3 linked regions of the Caenorhabditis elegans genome follow. The protein of the gene in region 3 interacts with the protein of the main gene of each other region in a pairwise test. Each region holds a gene or a part of one and is shown on either strand. Other genes may lie near its edges.

Region 1 (7,426 bases), on a different chromosome or scaffold from region 3:
CTGATCGGATTTCAAACACAAAAATGTAACAAAAACCCGCTTGTTGAAAATGAAAAGTGTTGGGATGTTCGACCGTACTCTCGAAGAGTGTAAGTCTCATCCACACCGTTCGGCATACACGTGAAACCAGTTTTCCACGTAAACATACACACACACATATAGTCATGATGAGGTCGAAGGTTGTGAGAAACAATCTTTTTGTCGCATCTTATGAGAACTGGGAGGAATGTAAAGGGTGAGAAGATGAAAGGAAAAGGGAAAACTTGATAATGACGCATCGGCAGAAGCTGGAATTGGAATACTTAGATTTTCCAACGGTTGTTTTGACAACCACTAACAAACTAGTATTGAATTTGTGAGAATGGTGATAGAAATTTAAATTTATGATGAAATAGGCAAACTCCCAGAAGAACAGGTGAAATTGAAATTGGGAAAACGAAGTCGCAAAGTCTGCTAGGTACGCAAAATGTAAATTATCTGGCTTCTTTGAACATTCTAGAAAAGAAATCCTACAAGTTTATTTTTGTAGTGGGGAAACCTCAGAATTCTTTTCTTCTCGTAATGATTTTATGAGGCAAAAAGGATAGGATTTCGATGAAGGTCGGTTAAGAGAAACAAGTTCGAACAAAGACGTATATAGCTCGTGAAAACATTTTTCAGAAACCATAGAATGATCAAAATGACTTTTGAATGTTCAAAAACTTCACTTAGCACAAAAAACTAGTTGTTAAGTGTTTATTTTATACCAATAATTAACGAGATTGTGAGTCATTTAACGTTTGAAAACGATTGTGGTTCCAAATTCATTGTAAAAGTGGAGTGTCAGTTGTAGGGATTTTGCTTCAAATTCCTACAAATAGCTCGGAAAAAATCCGCGGGACGATAATTCCACAAAGATTTTTAACTGCATTATTTTTAATTGACTTTTGTTGTTTTAATTTTTTGTTGTTTTGTGGAACGTTCGTTTCAGCTAATCCGGATTCCCAAACAGAATTTTAATTACGCTATTTTATTGTTCAGGACCATTTTGGGTCAAATAAGCCCAGAAACGCCAATGCCCTTAAAAATATTTCTGTGTTCAATTTTTATTTCTCATTTGAAAATTCAACTTCCGCTTTGAATTACGCGAACTTTTTTTTTACCACCATTAGTAATGTTTCTTTTGAAGTTGTGATTTCATAGATAATTATAACTTTCAGAGATAATACTTCCAATAGTTCGTTTTTTTTTCAGAACTAATTGGAAAAAAACCCTGAACTCTAATATTAGTAACGCCACCACACCAAATCAAAAAATAAAATTTTCAAGTAAGACAGTAGGAACATAAAATAAACGGGATGTCCAAAAAATATAGAAGCCCTCAAAATAATTGCACCTATCTTGCTTTCACATCGTTTTACTTTAGGAACGACTCGCCTTTTTTTTTTTGAACAATTGCACCTGCTGTGGGTTGTTTCCTTTGGCTTTTCCTTTTTTGCCACTAGTACGAATAATTTTTAGTGCAAAAAGCTTTACAACAGCTAGTAGAAAAAATATTTTTGAAATTTTACCTACCTCCTTTGTAAATTGAAGTCGCTCATAGGGTTGTTGTCCCGTTTGGACTCTGCCGTCCCTGAAAAAGATTAAATTTAAAAAAAATACAAGAGCAGGTTTTTGTTTTGTGATGCTCTTTTTTTTAATTTATAAAAGAAAATTGTAGACATTCATTCTTTAACTCTAAGAATATAATACCATTAAGTAATACACATATGTAGTTCACATCTGTTTCATTACGTTCAATAAACACATCACAATTATCTTTTTTTTTTATAAAAAGGAAGCCCCTGAAAAATCATGTGAAAAATTTCACCTGGAGCAGTCTGAATTGCCATTGCAGAGTTGCGGCAAAACTGAGGGGCAGCTGAAAAAAACATATGAAACCATATTAAAATAAATAAACTACAGTGTCCTGTAACAGAAAATGAAACAAAACGAGCGAGGCTATCAAGTTGAAGTTAAAACTGAAGCCTTTCAGTCAAAGATATCTCTATAGTAACCTGAATAACATTCAATTTTCTAACTCTCCCCCATAATCACACGCTATGCGCTTGCTTTTGTTGATAAGTTTTTTGTCGGTTTTTGTGAAACGAAACGAAACCCAATTAGAGAGAGACGATTGCTATGGGAACTCGGCGCATATTTCCTCTTGGGGTTTTGACATCATGTCTAGAAACTCAAAACTTGAAATCATAATGTATACATCAAGTTCTGTTTCACCAAACAAACAACAAATCTAAAAAAAATTCTAAGTAATATATACAAGACACAACTCAACCTTCAATTTTTTCCTTATCGTTTCCTACCAGATTTATACTAAAAACTGACCTTCATAACTGTAGTTGTATTGTTTCATAGTTAGTGCAAATGCAGTAGCAGCAAAAAACGCGGCACAATGAAAGCGAAACACACCTTGCCACGGCTAACTATGTATTTACTTTTGGCCTACTCTTCCTCCCAAATGTTCAGAGATGAAAACAAATAGATATTACGGTTTGTAAGCAAACGTGTGAACTTTTGAATGTTCGCAAGTCAAGATATAGAGTTGAATTCCGAAAAATAATAGAAAACTGTAGTGAAATTGAAGGTGAAAATTGAAAATTGAGCAACAAGTATAGCCGAGCAACCAAAGGAAAGATATTGTAAAGTGAAAAAGATTTACGATAAGGATTGATTAAAAATTGTACTTGCCTGATGATTGCAAGCGCTTGTTGTTGAATCAAGAACATCAAGAAGCCGAAAGGAAAAAATTCATTAGCCTTTTTGGGAAATGAGCGGTGATGATGCCGTGAAGGAAGTTGTGTGCACTATGTTGAAGTAATAACATATCCGGGTCACCTGAAAGTGTATAAAAAATGTTGGACTAGAAAGAAATGTACATCAAACATTAAAAAATTCAATATCCAGGTCACAATATACTATAGTTCATTTTTCATCTTTCTAGCCAAAAAAAAACTTAATCTTTAGAACTGAGGCTTAATTTTTAAGCTGCGTTTTAAGAAATATGCTTTCAGGCTACTGTTTTCAAGCTGCCTTTTTAGGCTCAGTGATGATAAATATTTTCAGGTTTAGATCTTCAGGCTTAGTTTTTAGGCTTGATTTATATTCTGAGGTTATCAGGTTTAGGTTTTCAAATACGTTTTTCGAAACATTCAACATTTATAAACATTGACTCCACGTGAAAAGTTTCATGAAGTATCAAAAATGAAAAAGAAAAAACCTTCGTAAAACTATGAACATAAAGAAAAAAATTTGAAAAGTGATTGAAAAAAAATTACACTGCTCAAAACACACATTTCAAACATTTTGTTCTGTACCTGTACATCATTTTTTGAAAGCGATGTAACCACTGTGTTTTGTAAAGTTCTTGTTCATTATAATTCACACGTGTTTAAAATAATTTTTTAGTTATCAGAATGACATTACAAGTGGTGATGATAACTGATTAGTAGTAGACATACCGGTTATTTTGCACGCGGTTTTACTCGTTCAATCTTTTGAAGGTTATACAAATCTAACACCTTTCAAAGAAAATGACATACATACTTATTTTTATGGGTGTTTATAAATTTATACTGTTTTCATGTATTTTAGGAAATAAATAATTTTAACGAGCTTTTTTCAAAATTGTATGTCTTATGTCCATGAATGGTAATTATAATTGTAGTCTAGTAGTTATTTTTGTTGAAATTTAAATACTTTGCTTTCAGTACTTTTCCATCATCATACGTCTCTCAATTGGCTTCTACTTGCTCTCTTATCATTAACCATTTTTATGATAACCAGACGCATAGTTTCATTTTCTCAGACCATATTTATTTTTCAATTTATTTGTTTCTTTTTGTATTCTGTTGAATTTTGAGCTACAATTGTGTGGTATTTTTAGATGTTAGACCTATACCCTGTTCAAAATTTAACAGTTGATCAGTTGGAATACGAGAAGAATACACGATTTCTTCAACCGGCATGGGATTGGATCAAAGTTAGTTTCACCTAACCTTTTTTTGTAAATCATGATTCGATTCCAGAATGGAAATGAACACATTTTAAGCTCGCCGCTTTTCCCGCCGTTCTATGCGCTCTCAATCGATTACACTTGGGTAGCCGTTTTCACATGTAAGCACGTACCACGGGTTGATAACATTGAATTAAACTACAAAATGTTTCAGTTATTGACGTGTTTCTGTGCAACGTTCCATTTTTCAAAGATGCAAAAATCCAAAAAGATCGAAAAGTGACCTGGGATTTGATAAAGAAGTCACTGAAGCTTCAAGGATGGAATCAGCTCCTGTGGATTTACCCGATGGCACTTGTCCAGTTAATTTGGGTACCTGATACAGAGCTTCCTATCCTGGCACCAACAGTTTTTGAAATGCTTTCACAGCTGGCTATATTTTTCCTGGCCTTTGATTTCACATATTTCTGGTTCCATTATATCAATCACAAGGTAATTGATAACAAACAACGGTTGCATGTGTGAAGTATGATTGGAGTAGTCATAAAACACGGTTTTTAATAACTTGTAAATCGAGTTACATTGAAACTAATTAGACCATGTTTCACAATATAATTCAAAACCTTCTCTGAATGTATATAATCGGGAACTCACCAGCTACAAATAATTTTTTGTTGTGCAAAGCTCGCCAATTTTCCACCAGGTTTACATTCGTTTAGGCAAAAGTTTCCAAAACGTTGCACATTCCGAGTACTAATTCATATTGCGGAACCTGTCATTTTGTCGAAACGTCCTGATAGGAACTTTTTGATTGTTGCAAACGTTTCAGTGTTTATTTTTACGATTCCTATTATTTGGTTATCCATGTATGCAAAGAGGTTTATTAAAATGTATATTTTGACGTCACATAATGCATTTTAGTTTATGCTATGACGTCATAATTTACATCAATGTTGATTTCTTCATTAGCAGCTTTTCTCTCACTTGAAATTAAGATTCGAAATAATTTTTTACCAACGTTAAGCACGTTTCAGTTTGAATTTCATAAAGCTATTACATATTTTTCAGCGATTCAAAAATTATATTATCAGTGGAATGAATCACTGATAGTCATAATTGTCCTATACACAAATCATGGTAATATCACTCAACATTTTGCAGGTAAAATGGCTCTACCGCTGGTGTCACTCTGTTCATCATATGTACTCATCCCCATTCGCAGCATCTGCACAACATCTTCACCCATTTGAGGTTTTTGAAAATTGAGATTTATAACTAAAATAGTAAGTTTTTTCAGCTGTTCTTTGTTGGAACATTCATCACCACTATCCCATGGATCTTCCCAACTCACTGCTTGACCTACTGGATTTGGTTCTTTATCGCCCAGAGCGTCTCTTATGAGGTATTAAAATTTGACCTTTAAAGTTGACAAAGTTGAATTCAGGTTCACATTGGATACGACTTCCCATTTGCTCTTCATCGCATTTTCTGGTTCTACTCGGGTGCTCCGGCTCATGACATGCACCATCTGAGACCACTGACATGTTTCCAACCGTGGTTCAACTATCTCGACAGACTCATGGGTTACCATATTACCTACGCCGATTTGAAAAAGATGACCGAGGCAAAATTCAAAAAGTTCGGGCTCTATTCAGCTGAAGACGAGAAAGGATTAATCAAAATTAACTAAGCCACGTACATGTATTACCCCGTAACGCAATAAACGAACTTTTTTTGCTGTTGAAATGTGCATGAGTGAGCAAGACTTTTTCGGAACTTTGTGTTTGCTCCCAGACAGACCGGAAAATGTGAAAGTAACTGAATCAGAAGAAATGTGGTATTGAAACGTGAGATCTTGCAAAAGGAACTAAGAACACGAGACTTGACCAAAAGTTCAAAAGGTTGCTTGAAATGTAAATAATTTTAAATCTGAAATATCCCCCACCAAAAGGGTTAACCTGTCCAAATTGTGGTAAATCTATTTTTTTTAATTGAATTTTGTTTTCATAGTCAAACAATCGTAATTCTGAAACGTGGCCAAAAATGTCTACAAGTTTTAAAACAAGCAACTGTGACTCAAACATTTGTTCGGAGTATTATTTTTAACCAGGTGAATCGTTTCTATTTGGAACCTCGAATCGTCTTCAACAGAACATGCTTCACCCAATTTTCTCGCTGATGAGATTTGTGCAGAGGCGCATGTCTGTGTGTCATCGTGTAACTTCTATTTGCCGGCACAAAGAAGATGAGCAACAAAAAGACCTCCTCCAAACTTGCCCCCATTCAAATCGCCCATTAGCGTTTAGCCTTTCTCTCTTATAGGACCACCCATTGAAGCTGCAAAGATTCACGCATCCCAAACGCGTCGAAATAGAGGATGATGGGGGGACCAATTGGAAATGAGACATGCGCGAGAAGAGAGAAAGAGCCGAAGAAAGGAGCAGTTCTTCCCGCATATTTTCACTAGTATGTGTGTGCATTTATAGCCTTCCCCCTTCTCCTTCTTCACGGCTCCTCCTCCACGATGTGGGTGATGAGAGCGAAGAGGGGCCAGACCGGGAGCCCCTGCGCTTCTTCGACTAGCATTGTGCATTCAGAATCGATAGCTGTGTGTGTCTTGCCATTTCGTCTACTACATTGGGCTAGTGGTGCTGCTGCTGCTGTCGCTGCCGCGAGGAACCTCACATACGTCTTCTTATTAAAATTTCGGAACGAGCGACGACGGCCAACGGGTCATTCTTTCATTCTTTTATTTTGTTGTCAACTCTACCTTGGTTTTAAATGGAGAATGTCTGTTTTCAGCAAAGATTACGAGGTAAACATATAATTTTTCATATATTTGTTTATTGTCGGCTGAGTACGTAGCAAAATATTCGTAGATTATGTATATTCCGTTTAGAATCTTTGATGAAAATTTAATGAACTGCAAAACAGGTCAACCAAGTTGCTGATTGCCAGAAAGTAGCCTTAGGTTCGGAAATCATCGGTTGTCGGCTGCCGAAAGTTTTATCGTTCGCCAACTTCGGCAACTTTCGATATTAATTTCAATTGTTTTGTAAATACGCATTCAAAGACCCTAAATATTGCGAATATCGTCACTGTAAATAAAACAATTATATTTTTTCCTCGAAAAACACTCTGAAATATGAGTTTAACAGAAATATATGTTTGAACAACGCCAAGGCCTCGGCAGCCGACGGTTGCCGGTTGCTGAAAATTTCAGCGATTGGCAAATTCGGTAACCGCTCATTGACTGATACCCAGATGATGCTGATGCAATTAATTTTCAACCTGTAACCTAAATTTTAGTGAAACAAGGTAGCCAACGAACTTATACCTCTTGATAAGAAAAGTACTTGGCTTCTCGGGCAATAGGTACCACAAAAACTACTAAAAATAACCAAAGTGTCAATCAGCGCCAAACACACAATCTCA
Region 2 (6,758 bases), on a different chromosome or scaffold from region 3:
TAGAATATCCCGCCAAACATTTTTTAGAAAATTTGAAGTTCCCGTCGAAACATTTTCTTTCAAAAAAAAAACTAGAGTTTCTCTTGTTTCAGTGAAAAAGTATTTTCAAAAATGTTTTCTGTATTTCAGACTATAATTTTAGAATGAGCTCTCTCAAAAAAACGTGCAAACCAAAAAACACCAATAATTTCCAGAAGCATCATCCGTCAATGTTCACGCACAGAAATGATTTTGGCTGACAAAATTCCAGAAAACTTGAACAGTATCAATTTTCTTGAAGGTTCGTGTCCTTCTACAATTTTTGGAGAAAAAAACATTCATTCAGGATCCGACCCAACCAATAAGAAATATTATATCTTCCTGGACATTGACAATATTCCTAACAAAAAACTTAAAAATTTCAATCAAGAAACTAGGATGGCCGTTGGAGTCGGGGCAGTTGAGACTTTCTGTCGAATTTTCCGTAACAAAAACTCAAATGCAAAACGAGTTGTGTTCGAATTCCCATTCCGATCGACTCATCGTTCAATTATGCCACTTTTGATTTCAGAACTTGAAAAATCCGAAATTATTATCAAAGCTCGAGAAATCGCAATAGACTGCAATGAATCTACGTCGAAATGGATTCAAAAGCTCCTAAGCCGCTTCGAAATGGAATACCTAGAAAAAATCACAATGAAATCGCTGAGTGGGAAGGTTTTTGACAAACTGAAAATTACCGATCATTTCAAGAGAGCTAAATCCTTGGATCTTCACGCCAAGAAGAATCCGAGGGGGTACACGCCTGGGGTAGATCAAACTGTCGTAGTGGACTATGCCATGCTGAGCCACGTGGAGAAATACATGCTCACAGTGCATCAGCTGGTACCGGAAGATGCTTGGAAAGTGATCAAGGTGAGACAAGAAGGTAGCTGTCCAAACCTTACCAGGTCCACGTAGAGATCCGCATTTAGGCACTTGTCCGAACAAGTAGGCCGTAGCCCATAGTTAATTTGAACCCTTGCCTAATACTTCTTTTACAACAATAAAGATTAAATCGTGGGTCGCTCGGTGCTGTACCAACTTTATTCTCAATCTACATACATAGTCATCACATCAAATTTTTAGAACTTCCGCTCGAGACCCAACCTACCCATTGGCTCGTTTTTCAACATTGAGGTTGCTGTAATCATTGATCACTTGCAAGTTTTGCGCCAATTCGATGTTCAGCCAAAGCATCAGCCTCCTACAATTGCCGCATTACAATTGAGGTGAGTTTTAGAGGAACATTTTCGATAGTTTCCCATTGAAACTAAATATAAATATTTCTACTTCAGCTACCCAGCCTACACTTATCACGTGCAGTTCTTCGATGTAGAGGACTCCAACAATATTCTCGTTGTCTCAATCAGCATATTTGATGTGACTGGATCAATTTGCAGCCGGGATCATATTTGGGAAACGTTTCGAACGAAATTTTAGTAAATTTTAATTATAAGCACAAATTGTTATCAATGAATTATTTTATATCACAGAATAGTTTTTAACTGCTTGTCGGACACCAGGCACAAGATGTGCGTAACGGGTACTAGGGTACTAGGGTACTTGGGTACTAGGGTACTATGTAGAGTACTAGGGTACTAGGGTAATGGGATACTAGGGGACTATTGTACTGGGGTACTGGGGTACTGGGGTACTGGGGTACTAGGGTACTTGTGTACTACGGTACTACTCCTGTTTCATTGACTGATTTGTTCCAAACTTGATTAGGTTTCTGTACGACTCGTTTGAAACTAATTCCAAATACTTCCAAAGTCGCATTTCGATAAGGTGCGTGCACGGTCAGCATAACAAACGTTGATAGACCTCCATGAAGTGCCATTGTAAATACAGCAAGATTATTGGCTTCTAAAAGGCTTCATTACTCTGCAAACTTTACGAGGCTTACCTTGATTGTAATAACCGACGACAACAACTACAACGCAATAACCGGCTGGAATACAAATAGCGGAAATTGGAATGGCTACTTGTAAGCACATTGCGAAGAACAACTGTTTTTGCAGACGAGTTGTGGCTCGCGATTTTGATTTCAGCGTGAAAAGATACCAAAATATACTTAAGATGAAAAATGCGCCCTGTGGGAGAATAACAAGAGCCGCGATTCCGAGGCTCAAGTAGAGCGGACCAGATTCAGTGATTAATAGAAAAAAATCGGGATGATTTATTTTTTCTTCTGGAATGCAGGGATTTGTCTGAAACTCAATACCTAATTGTTTAATTGGGTCCAAAGATTTCAATGCTAGAGGACTAAACTAACCTCCATAATCATTAGTTTTCCAAGATTTTGATCGGGAATATTTAAAAAGCAAGGTAGAATGAACGTTATTGAAATAATATAGTGAATAGCAATGTATACAACGTACTTCCAGCCACGTTTTCTATCTACACCTGGATTTCTGATTAACTTGTGATATCGCTCCTCGAAGAACATAAGAATCGCCATTCCAATCACTGAATTTTAATTTTTAAAAAATGGTTTTCTGTTTACACAACCAGAATAAACCATACCTCCAATAAGGGAAACCCCTACGTAGGCTTGAAAAACAGTTGAAACCCCAAGCATCGTTAGTACTCCAAGTGGATATACGGCGCAGGCAGGTAAAAGGAATACTGGAATTTCTAGGCAACTCATATAAATGTCTAATAAGGCACCCGCCAAGTGAAGAACCAGCATATTCGTTCTTACATTTTTCATATTGTTTGGAGTCTTTGCTATGATAATATAAGCACCGAAGATATGAATAGGAACCTCGAACGAGGTAAGGATGTGAAGAGCATTTGCATGATATGTGTCTTTATCAGATAATATTGGAGTTTTGCTACACATTCGACAAGTGAAATTAGCAAAGGGAAGTTGAAATGAAATGAGAATGTTTTTGGCGTTGCATTCCAATTAATTTTGTTAATTAATTTTGCTGATTTATGCTGTCAGGCTTCTCTGGCATTTATTTGAAAAAAAAGAACGGCAAAAAACACAACATACCTAAAATGCTCATTGATAAGGTTTAAAATAAAGTATTGGTCCACAGAAAACCATCAAATTCAGAAATTTCAAGAATTAGTAAACACTCTATTTGCTATGTAACTCTAAAACGACTCTGTTTTTCCGCGATTTATATTTATTAATTATGAATCATATTCGTGTTTCCTGATCACCTTAACAATAATCATTTCTTATCAAGACAAAACTCCAGACATTAAAATCACATCACAATTTCCTTATCACCGATAAGGCTCTTTCCAGGTGACTCACTTGTTTAGGAATTCACTACAAACATAAAATAAAGTGTACTTACATATATTTCGTAACCCCAAACCTAGGAAAAGGAAATTGGAAAAAGTAGGCGTGTCCTATTAGTGCTCAGGGTGGTGAATATATATTAAAACGAAGCCAAGTGTTGGAGATTTGGAAAATGTCAGTTAACATCGGTGCAGTTTTGATGATTTTCGTGTATGCTATCAATTTTTATCTGTTATTTCAAGGTTTTGATTTTAAAAGCAGTTTTAGGAGTGAAGGTAAGGGATTTTTCGTTTTGATAACTTCTTTTTTAAATCAATTTCATGAGTTAATCCAACTTGGTAATTTTAACAACTGTGTAATTTTCTTGATTTCAGAAACTCTAATTGATTCGTATAATGGTAGTATTCAAGAAAATGGAAAACGCATTATGTTCCAAGGCTTATCACTTCGATCTTGATTTTAAATGTTTTGTTTTTTATCCTTTTAAGATGTGTGATCTCATTTTTCATTTTTTATCTGTTAATTGATAATAAATGTGATTCAAATTGTATTAAAAAGTTTTTTCAAGTAGTCTTTCTTTCCTAAAGCTAAGGGGGGTTGCTTCCCAAATTTTTGTTTAAATTAATGAAAATCTTATGAGGAACAAATCTTATTCTCTATGACTACATTAAGCAAACTCAGCAGATTAGCTCTTTGCTTTGCTGCCCAACGATGCACTGATGGGTCTCTGAGTCTTCAAAATGTTGGCCAAATTAATAGGTTTCCCTGGCCAGACGCAGATATTACGGACATAGTATAACATACTCAGAGGTGCGCAATATTCTTGTGTTGCCAATATTATCATCGTTTTGGTTACCATGGTATTATTTGGGGATCTAGCTTCAGAGGGAAAGAGTGAAATGAGCTAATTGAAAAACGGCATCATCAAACCCTGAAATTAACCGGAATACATATGTCATGCCTGGATGTCCCACTACGATTTGATCTACAAAAAATGCGGCAATTTTTTCCCAAAAAAATGTGACGTAAGCACCATGTGAAAGTTGAGAACTCTGCGTCCCAATTCCTGCAATTTTTGTAGATCTAAATAGATCAAACCGAAATGGAACACTCGGACACCACGTGTATACAGGGAGTTTACTGTAAATTAAATACTTTAACTGGAATTTTTGGAACTAGACTAGTCTAAGAAAGGGTGCTTTCTTGGTGAGGCCTCTGTTATGACGAACTCTGTAATTTTTTCTACTACGAAGGTTCTCCGATGCCTTTCCTGCAATTACTGGAACTAGGAGGAGGCATCTCCAGCTTTGGGCTCAAGCATCACGGGTTGTCAAGGAAACATCTGAAACATCCAAAAATTTATTTATTTTTTTCACATACTACACAACTCCTTTTTCGAACTTCAATGAATATATTAGATGAAAGACGCAGAGATAACTGAGAAATTAAAACAACACTGGACAGATGAGGTTGCTAGGAGAACAAAAGGGCGTGAGATAACTCACACACGAAACTGAAGTAGAAGGGCATAATTTTCAGTTTTTTGTCTGCGTGCTCAAATTTTTTTCAATTCATCCGTCTAAATAATAACGTCATGGAATCCTTCGAATACTGGCCAAGATTGCCTGAAGAACTCAAAAGAGAAGTTATAAAAAACATGGGATTTGCTGACAGGTATTTTTTATATGTTGAAATAGACTAAAACAGGTCCACAATCACAAAAGTTCATAGTGAGACTTCACAAAAAATGCCTAAAATGTTTTCAAAACTCCATTGGCTGCGACAAAGAAAAATGGGCATAATTTCAGATTTTAGCAAAGTTTGGCTCTTTCGCAATTTCGACCCACCATAAAAAATATTTGGAAATTTTTTGTGCAGTATCATTTTGAAATTCGATGCCTACCTAGCCTACCTTCATGCCTAATTCTTTGATAACTAGTTGTTTCATCTTGCCCGCAAATTTTTTATTTTCCAGATATAACACTCGTCTGTGTGCATCTCAAGAAATGAGGCTCGTCGATAAACTGCCAACTCACCTCGATAACCTGGAATTTGTTGTAAGTAGGCTTTGAACGCTGTACATTATTTTTTAAAAAGTGTTTTCAGAATCTGATGAAGCATTCAGACAACACTACATCAGCTTGGCGGTGGATAAAATTCCATTCAAAAACATTGTCGACCTAAGAACTAACAGTAGATTTGGATTCGAGAAGTTTTCAATTCAAAATTTCTGCCGAGTTTTTGAAAACAAAAACTCCACCGTTCAACGACTGGATCTTCAGCTTTTCTATCAATCCACAAATCGATCAATTTTTGATCTTCTGGTTGCTGAAATTCAGAAACGAGAAATCAAGATCTGGGTGAAGGAAGTTCACCTGGATTGCAGTGAAGAGCGGAAGTTCTCATGGCGGAGAGTTGCAAAGCTTATGACTATTTTTAGAAATAACCACCCAAGCCAGCTATTTCTAAGAAATCTTCGAGAGGAAGACTACATCAAAATTTATAAATTGGCGTTCCAAGGTGTGCCGGACCAAACGATTATATCGACTGTGCCAAAGTTGTATGAACTCCACCTAAAATGGACGACACCGTTTATATCAGATCAATATTTGTTTCGCGGTTGTTCACCAGGTTTTGCTTGGTCACAGCTCAAGGTAAGAAAGTTTATTGTATTCCAAGGAAAGTATCTCAGCTCACGAGTTTGGCTCGTCAGAGACTTTGCAAAAAAATGACTAAAACTTATTTGCTTTACCACATATTTTGGAAAGAAATGGACTGAAAAACTTTCAGATCGACCTGTGAGAAAGCATTATTTATTGTTTTACAGCATTATAAAGCTCATGGTTGGAAGCCAGTTGGAAGCGTCTTTAAATTTAGAACAATTGTGGAAATGGACATCGATGGAATTATGCAGCTATATGATGTGCAGCCGCAATTCAGGAAGTTCCAGCATGTTCCCGACTGGGAATACGACATTTCGTTAGTGAATCTTTTTGGCTTTAAAATAAAATCATTGATATCAAATTTTCAGTGAGTTCCCAGACAAGGAATTACAAATGTTCGACACTGACATTCCGGAAAAAGTGTTCATCTGCGAACTTTTGCCAACCTACATTGCCGGCGTGATTTGCCAGAGGGATCAACTTATTTTCCAGTCATGATTTTTCCAATTAATTTTTGTCAATCTTTCATTTAAAACGTTTAAAAATAAGAATTTAATATTAATTTCATATATATAATTTGATACATAGTTTCTTTATAGTTTCCACTTCACATAATGTTTGAATCAAATTAATCGTAACTTCTATAAAAGTTTAATATCATTAATTCTTCGAGATCTGGCGTGAAATTCAACATTTTTTAAAATTATGAATTAAAAAATTGTAAACAATTTTGGTGGACTTCAAAAATGAACTTTAATTTTATGGAGAATTTATTAAAAAATAAAACTGAATAAAAATCACCAATTTGTTCATAA
Region 3 (8,380 bases):
TTTAAAAATGGTTACGGTTTCATTTTTAATTAAAATATTTTCAATAAAATCTATTTTTTGAAACTTGTTCTTCATATTGATGACTTGGGTCTTAGCTGTATTTTGAGATCGTTGCTTTCTGACTTACCACACTACGGGTCCCAGAACTTCAGCTGCCTGTAATGTAATCAATCTTCCGGTTTCTTAGAAATGCTGACTAAAAATACTTTAACGTCTAGTGGCAATAATCACGTGCACAACTTAACCAATTGAACAAAATTCATGGTTTTTCTAGCTCTAAACCACGAAAAAATTCACTCTAATCAAGTGTTCAGTCAGAATCTGAGACCAAGTGATTATGAAAATACCTATATACCTAGACCACAACTTGACGCAAATCCTAATGAAGCCATACCACGATACTTGTTATGTTCCTCGTATTTTTGGAACTGATCATGCTCGTACTACAAAACACGGCAATACTCTAGTTTGTAGTATTTGCAGTTGGTGTTATTCGATAGATCAGATATAGTAAATGCACTAACATAATAAGATCAGATAAAAGTAGGCGGAGACTGGAAACCGCCAAATAATCCTATTTAAAATAGTCATTTAAAACGAGAGGAAAGTTCTAGGATGAGAAGATATTAAAAATATATATGCAGGAATTGTGTGTGTGTTTTGTTTTTCTGATCCTTTTTGCGACATCTTCCCTGGTTATAGGTGTTCACAGCTCCCCCGTTGACCAGACACTAGATTTCTTGTTTTTCCAATTTGAAGAAAAATGGAAAATAAGGGGTCTAATTTTCACAGGGGATTAGTAATTAGTAAGAATTTTGACTATGTAAAAGAAGTAATAATTGTACTGTTTTGTTTCGTGAAATTAATCTAAAAAACAAGAAATACCTTTCAAGTGTTTCAAGTTTTCAAGACGGTTTTGTTCATTTTACTATTGTGAAAAACTGAAAAAATTATTTATCAAAAATTTTTAGAAAGTAGAGATTTCGCATTGCAAGAAGATTCATTCTTGTGAAAAAGATTTTTTATTAAAAGTTTCAACAGGCGGTGCAGTTCCGTTTGGCGCTCTTGGCGCTCGCTTAGCATAAATTTACGCATAATTAATTTTCCCACTAAACGTTTTTAGAATGAAGCTGAAAGTGAGGTTTGCGTGTGCTTTGGCAGTAAACTAAGAGTATAGATGCCTATATAGGCACAGGCAGGCGTAGGTTGCAATGGCGAAGGTAGAAAATTTGAGAAATTAGGGCACAAGAGCAATACACCAATACAAAAAGGTCAGACAAATTACCTTCTTATTTATGTGATGAATTCTTTGGAAAGTCATATTGTAATCTGACTCTCGCATCTAGTCGCCATACCTTTTGTCTAATATTCGAAACCTTATCTACGTCGTTTTAACCACCCTCAATGCGTGTGTGTGTGCAAAAAGTGTGTTGTGTTTCGGTGGTGCAGAGATCACTGCTCCATCTTTTGATCTTTTTTCCGCATTTTCTGTTTTTCGTATATATTCAAAAGAAAACACTTTGTCCTCCTCCTTTTGCTTTGCGCGCACGCTTGCCAAACTCTAGTCTTCTTGACCACCACATCAAATCAGAACTTGTTGGTTTCAGATGAAAAAGGGGCGAGAAATATGAGAAGATCAAATGATCGTCTCTACTCTACTTGAATAATCTCAATATGCTGCTACGTGCTTGAAGTACGTAAAAAGAGCAAAAGATAATCTGTGCAATAACAGCTGATTATCGGGAGAGGAGGGCAGAGAGCTATTCTGATTGTAGGAATATGTCAGAAGCTGGTCTACGCCAACTGATCTTTCGAATTCCCCTGCCAGAGATTTTGACTAAAGTGAAGTCAGGTCAGAAGAGAAAATGTGTATTTTGTTTTGTTCTTCTGATTCTTTTTGGATCAATGAACATTTTTGAAATTGATATTTAATATAGTTTGTGTGGTATAAATGCTACGTTTATTCCCATGTTTTTTTCATTTCTGGGCAAGTTTTAGTAATTTATTTTATAGAATTCTCTTTGCAACTGATTACGAATAACTACATTTTGAAAATTGTACTTTTTATAACATTCAATTTTTAAAACTACTACTTTGTACTGTCAGCAATCAAAACTTCTTAATGAAAGTTTGCCGTACTCTTACTCTAATCAAGCGATCCGGTTTCGCATGACCTTCTCACCTTTTCAACTGCTTCACGTGACATCAATTATGAATAATGCAAACTTTCACTTAATTTTTTAAAATTTAACCGACATACATACCTGTTATAAATACAGAGCCGACGGGACGCGACTGAAAATGAATAAAATCGTGCTCCATACAATTTATGTTCTGACTAGTAAGCTTTTTCATTTTCATCCGTTCAGCCAATTTTCAAAATTTTGTACGCCTGACATGTTTTTATGCATACCGAATAAGAAATTCAAAAGGTTACATTCCACAATTTACAATTTGCAGTTAAAGCCTTTTTTAATTTTATAATTGTAAGCATTTTTTCAGTTCTGTAATCAAGAGTCCTACAAAAAAATTGGTGCACTCAACACTGTGCCCTGCTTTTCCCAAAAAATTATTTTTTTGTTGAAAAATCGTAGTTGAGAATTCTTGAACATAGGTTCGGCAAAACTGAAAAAAACACCTAGAGCTCACAGTGATTATTACAAAATTTAGAAAATATTGCTGAATCTAATTGTAAGTTTTGACGACTTTGTCACATTTTTTCTTGCCGTATTATCTGTAACTTGATCAAACAGTTGTTCCAGTTTTCCTAATAGTTTTCATGAAAAATAACGTATTTTGTACTCTTTTTCCTATCCCACATTCGATAATATTATCCACCATCATCATCAGAATTTCATCAATTTCTCCCATTTTTCTCTGTCATACAGGGTCATCGAAAGACCACGTGATGTAACGCTTTTGCAGGCACCTAGCATGACGGATTACTGTATTTTCAATATATCTTGGATGTCTGATCGTTTTGGGTGTGAAACTGGGAATGAAGACGTGCAAGAATGTATTGATAAAAGGTGGGAGAATGAAGAAAAAAGGAATAGATCAAAGAAAAAGGAAGAAGATAATATGATAGAAATTATGAAAAATGAAGATACGGTTAGGAAGACAACTAAACATGATAATCACTTATTTTGAGATCTTTTCGGAGAAAAATGATAACAAGAAAAAAAAAGAGATGATCGTGATTGTTTTATTTTTTAAATAAGAACTAATCTATTTGAGGGGTTTTCAATTAAAGACTTTTAACAGTAACTTATAAAAACACAGTATTGAAAGTTCGATTGTCGGCAGTTCATTCAAAATTGACAGATTTTAGAAGCTGTCTGCCTGCTTTGCAAGTTCACTCTTATCAGTATTAAACTGATATTACCAGCAATATATCCGCTAATTGATTAAATGAATTTTTAGTAAAAATAATTTGAGTAGACTGTAGTATATTCTGATTTGCAAGTTTTATTTGATCAAGAGTTTAAAAAGAGTCTAGTGAAGTCACATTGCATCAATTTGACAGGCCTTCTTTGTTTTGCATTATATCAATAGATTTTCGGATCTGCCAATGTTTTCAGGTGTGTCATATATGTTTTTTTGTTTGCTTTGTAAATATAAAAAAAACCTTTTTTCAAGAAAAAGTGACATGTTTTCCAGATACTGCTGCAAATTTTAACTTTGAAATAGTGTATTTTTTATTTTTCAGCGCAGAAACACGTGTAAATTCGGCGGTAAGACTGACTTGACGGCATGAACGTTCATTTGTTTATTTTCTGTAGAAAAACAGTTTTGACGAACCACTAAAACTAGATGCTTCCACGATTTCTAGAAGTTAAGCTGGAATTTCATACGCTGAATAATCGTGAACTCATGGCACAGGATTAAAAAATGCTTCCAAAAAGTTCAAGTTGTATTTTGGAATTAGTTCAAAAATTTTGGAAATCATAGACATCGGACTAAATTAAATAAGTTCGATTTTTGTCCATCTATCCATTTGCCTGTAACTTCCATAAATCACAACCAGTCCTTTGCCTCTACCAATTGATCGGATGGCGTCAATCGACTATCGATTCTTCGCCCGATGATATCATTCTTGTCCATTCCTGACCCTATCGACACGATTTTCTCATTTTATTCTGAATTCGGTGCAAACTGTACCTTTCAACATCGTCACTCTTTTTCCAGTAAATAACGGATTAGTCGGAGGGTTTTTGAATGTCAATTCCCACTTCAATCCTATAAAAATGTAAAACATTCTTCTCTGGTTGCTAACTATAAGACCAAAGATCCGAGCGTCTTGTTGACCATCGGGTCAGTAGTGCCACGTGGTGTCTCTCTACTCAATTCACACTCAATTTGATCTTTCGATCCACTCCTTTCTCTGCGTATCCACGTTGATACTTCTCTCGCCGCCCTTTGTACAAACAAACCGTCGGCAGAATTGAGAGGGAAAAGGACGAAAAGTTTCCATTTTTCAGTTGAAACGCTAGGGAAAAAGAGTAAAAGAGATGATGAAAGACAGTGAGTTTTACACTGATTATGTGTATTTTATGTTGGTCTTCAACTCTTTTTTTGCCTCGCTTTCAATCTCTCTCACTCACTGTTTCAATATCGTTTTTGACTATATTTGGTTGCAGGGAACTGTTTCTTGTTTCAATTGTCAGACTACACTTTTTTCACTGTAACAAGGAGCTTTTGTGATACGGAATAGCCATAGTCTTCAGAAATTGATTTTGAGAAATTTTTTCTTTCGTTTTTAGTGGAAATTGTATTTTTGATTTAATTTGTACTATTAAAAATGTGATAAAATTTTACTCAAACTTTTAAAATCTCGAAAATTCCCTTAATTCTATCCCTAAAATTTGAACTATTCTGTTAGTGTAGTAGACCAAGAAATGGTTTTTTCCAATGATTGTTTGATTTTCTTTTAATTTTTAAAAATATTTTTAGATTTAATATGCAACTTTAACCTTCTCAAAATAATCAGAATTACAGTTTTTTCACGCCTTCCAATGTTTTTTTTTCAATTTTGACACATTTAAATGTAATTATTTATACTGCATTCATTTTTTGGTCACATTCAAATTTATTTTATCAAGATTTCTCTGCTAGCTACTTAATTTTTAATGCAATTCCCCACATCAGTAACTTTCTGATCCTATATTGTTAGAAATCTATTTCCAAATTGAGAACTATTTACAGTTGTGTCGTCAATCTCTGTAGAAAGTTACAAGTTAAAAAAAAAGAACATATTCTATGAATATTATATCATAGTTTGATCATCTAGTTGTCTAATCTCAACTCTATATCGGTGGGTACTGCTACCCGTTTTTCTCCCCATACAAAAATCGCCTTGCACATCTGAATCTCTTCGTCACGTGACACTCACTAGCTCATCTATTTTCTCTAGGATTCTCTAGGACTGTCTGCGTCTCTGATTTTTGAATCCTCTCTCGTTTGAATCGATGTAGTTGTGTGACGCTGATTTTGAACGTTTGAACTCGCGCAGGATCGAGACGAAACATTTTTTCGGTATGCGCGTTGAAAAAGGAAACGAAAACGGTGCGAGAAAAGCGGTAGAGACATCGCAGACACGAGGTCAACTTGTGTCCCATTCCTGTTGATATTCTCACTTTTGAATTTCAGTTTTTGAGTTACTTCAAACTTTTTAAAAATACACAATTAATTGAAATATTATATGTGTATTTTTAAGACGTTCTACGGGAACTGCCCCTGATTGTTCACATCTTATTGAAATTTTTTGAACTCTACCCCAAATTGTGAAATTTCAACTCACTGCATCAGAACTAACAAAACTGAATTTTAAATCTTTCGTTAATTTCAAACTTCTGTTTCGAGTTTTAAATTCAATCTGGTTTGTCTTCCGTTTTTTAAAATTAATTCTTGAATGTAATTTTTGCAAATTCTTGATTTTTCATACACTTATTTTTGAGATGGATTAATGTCGTTTCGTCTTAATTTGTGGTCAACACAGTTTTTGAAATATAATAAATGTAGAAGTTTAGGTATAAGTGTTATCTTTGAAACTCATTTTCGTTTTTATTTTAATAATTTTTTTAAAGATATTATGAATATAGTTTTCTTTTGGCTTCAGTTTTTTTGCCCTATCCCACGATTTCAATCAACTAGAAATAATTAAAATTCAATTTTGATATATGTTTATACATATTCCTCATCTCTAATTATTTTTTCAGAAATTAATAAAAATTCTAAAAATAAAATTACTTAAATTCAGCACATTTTCACTTCTCAAATTTTAAATTTCAGCCCAAACGGCTCACCAACCACTTCAACTACGCATCGTCGTCAGAATTCGTCGTCCGGATTGGAGCCAGCTCGTAAACGACCAAAACTTTCTCCGCCTGTCTTGACAGCAATGCCATTGGATTGTAAGTTTTTGGATTAAGTATTATGTACATAGCTTGAAACATAAAAAAGTTTCTTACTTTTAATTATCCTTTTAAAAAATTGCTTAAAAATTATTATCTGTTTTAGTGACCGATGCAGTTTCACCTAACGAATCCCAAGCATGTACATCAAGTCTCAAGGGTGTCGTCACGGCTGCTGGAGCTGCTCAAATGTCCGTTGCAGATCGTATGACGTCATCATCGGTGGCACCTCCTCTCTGCATTGTACCCAGATCTGTCGAATTCATTAACCCGAAAACAGAAGATATGAGTATGGATATACCAATGGGAAATGTGCAAAGCGGTTTGTCTTTTTTTTCAACATCAAAAATTTCAGAAGACCAAAATACAATTGCATTAAAAACACAAAAAAATAAACTGTAAAAGTTTTTTTTTCGAAAAGCTTTAATTCAAATTTTCCTGTTTTTAGTTGTATTGCAAAAATATTAGAAACTTAAATTCCAGACTGATTATAGACTACGTTTTCAATTCTGAAAATATCCAAAACTGTAACTAAATTTTGAAAAAATAAACTGAAAAATGTGTTTTTAAAACGTAGTTTCTTAAAATTGATCCAAAAATTTATTTTTTATCATTGATTTCCCTGACTCCTATTTTAAGTTTGTCTGTTTATTTCTACCTTGACATTTTTATCCAGCAATTCTAAAAACTGCCCTTCCCGCAGAAAAAAGTGCAAACAGCACAATGAGCAGTATTTGTTCGTTTCAACAGGTACAATATCGAATCACATGTTTATCAACCAATTATGGTTTCGGTTTCAAATACACACAGTTTTGCAACTTTTCAAATAATTCAAATAATGACATCAACAACTTTATTAAACATTTGTCACGTGGTTTTGTGAACTCTCTGAGCCAAAGTTCAGACATCACTCACCTTTGAAAAATATATGTTTCGTTGTGCTAAGCACTGTCCATTGGAAAAAGTGTAAAGATCTAGAGTCGCATCAAAGAGAAAAGATTACAATTTTTGAAGATAAGAAATTGAAACATATAGTGAAACTACATTATATTTGTATAAACAAAAGTTATTACAAATAATACTAATAATTTTCACATTTTTTTGACTGCATTACTACAAAGTGTTAATATGATAATATTTAAATAAATAGTGTTTCTCTTATTAAAATGTAAAATGGCGAATATCATAATAATAAACTCCAAAAACGTTTAGATTTTTCAACAAAAAAAAATACAGGTTGAAATCTCTAGAATGTTTAACTACAAACAATCAAAATGCAGATAAAGTATAAAACTCTTAGAATAAAAAAAATTTCTGGTCGGTTTGAAAAATTATAAGAGGCGAAGACTGTTTTACCACTTTTTGATCGTAAATAATTTTAGAAAAATTCCTGAAAATTTTTGTTATATTATTTGAATTTTTTCCCTAAAAACAGTTTAAACTATTTTTTCCACTGAGAATATTCCACTGTTGAATTTCAAAAGTTATTTTGAGGTTCCAAAATTAGAATAGTCCCTTTATGATCTTTTGGACCCCCGCGGGCCTAATATTGTCTATGCGTATTGTCATCATGATCTGTTATCTTTGTAGTCGACCAGGAAACTACGGGTCGATTTTGTATTCCCTCGCGACGGTAAAATCGATAACATCTTCTCATGATATTTTGATTCTTTTCCCCTTAAAAGTGTGTTTCTGTGAGCCCAAAAGCTTCTTGCGCTTTGAACTAGAAACATAGTTGGCATATAGTCAATAGGCAAATGGTTGAACAATAAAGAATGAGACTTAGGCTAATATTACATAGTGCATAAATATACCTGTTTCCTTCCTACCAGAAGAAATCAAAAGATCATTTGAAAAGGTATTCCCCCGTCTGGAGGAGAGAGTATTCCCCCGTGGAAACGGGTGAGAAATAAAGAAAGATAGATTGAGAGATGTTACGGTGTGCACCACTTGCGCAAACACATATA

Evidence for each region.
Region 1: the proteins of nhr-34 (region 3) and F35C8.5 interact in a two-hybrid assay, tested with the Caenorhabditis elegans proteins (one large-scale study listed by BioGRID).
Region 2: the proteins of nhr-34 (region 3) and srh-166 interact in a two-hybrid assay, tested with the Caenorhabditis elegans proteins (one large-scale study listed by BioGRID).

What each region holds. Positions count from the first base shown.
Region 1 is NC_003284.9:5,361,893-5,369,318, forward strand, and holds F35C8.5 (Cholesterol 25-hydroxylase-like protein), read left to right. Parts: upstream 1-3,920; 5' UTR 3,921-3,922; coding exon 3,923-4,018; intron 4,019-4,064; coding exon 4,065-4,152; intron 4,153-4,205; coding exon 4,206-4,483; intron 4,484-5,152; coding exon 5,153-5,242; intron 5,243-5,288; coding exon 5,289-5,393; intron 5,394-5,435; coding exon 5,436-5,681; 3' UTR 5,682-5,727; downstream 5,728-7,426. Other genes in the region: Dual specificity mitogen-activated protein kinase kinase jkk-1, read left to right, coding at 6,773-6,806; F35C8.8 (uncharacterized protein), read right to left, coding at 7,424-7,426. UniProt on the Caenorhabditis elegans protein: Probable sterol desaturase.
Region 2 is NC_003283.11:20,523,001-20,529,758, forward strand, and holds srh-166 (Serpentine Receptor, class H), read right to left. Parts: upstream 2,867-6,758; coding exon 2,548-2,866; intron 2,491-2,547; coding exon 2,297-2,490; intron 2,232-2,296; coding exon 1,928-2,231; intron 1,888-1,927; coding exon 1,700-1,887; downstream 1-1,699. Other genes in the region: fbxa-150 (F-box domain-containing protein), read left to right, coding at 195-280, 326-894, 1,108-1,250, 1,317-1,461; Y38H6C.24 (Transposase), read left to right, coding at 3,453-3,555, 3,655-3,737; Y38H6C.13 (F-box domain-containing protein), read left to right, coding at 4,875-4,954, 5,256-5,337, 5,387-5,464.
Region 3 is NC_003282.8:9,667,216-9,675,595, reverse strand, and holds the start of nhr-34 (Nuclear hormone receptor family member nhr-34), read left to right. Parts: upstream 1-2,925; 5' UTR 2,926-2,934; coding exon 2,935-3,029; intron 3,030-6,291; coding exon 6,292-6,413; intron 6,414-6,519; coding exon 6,520-6,735; intron 6,736-7,377; exon of another isoform or gene 7,378-7,398; intron 7,399-8,380. UniProt on the Caenorhabditis elegans protein: Orphan nuclear receptor.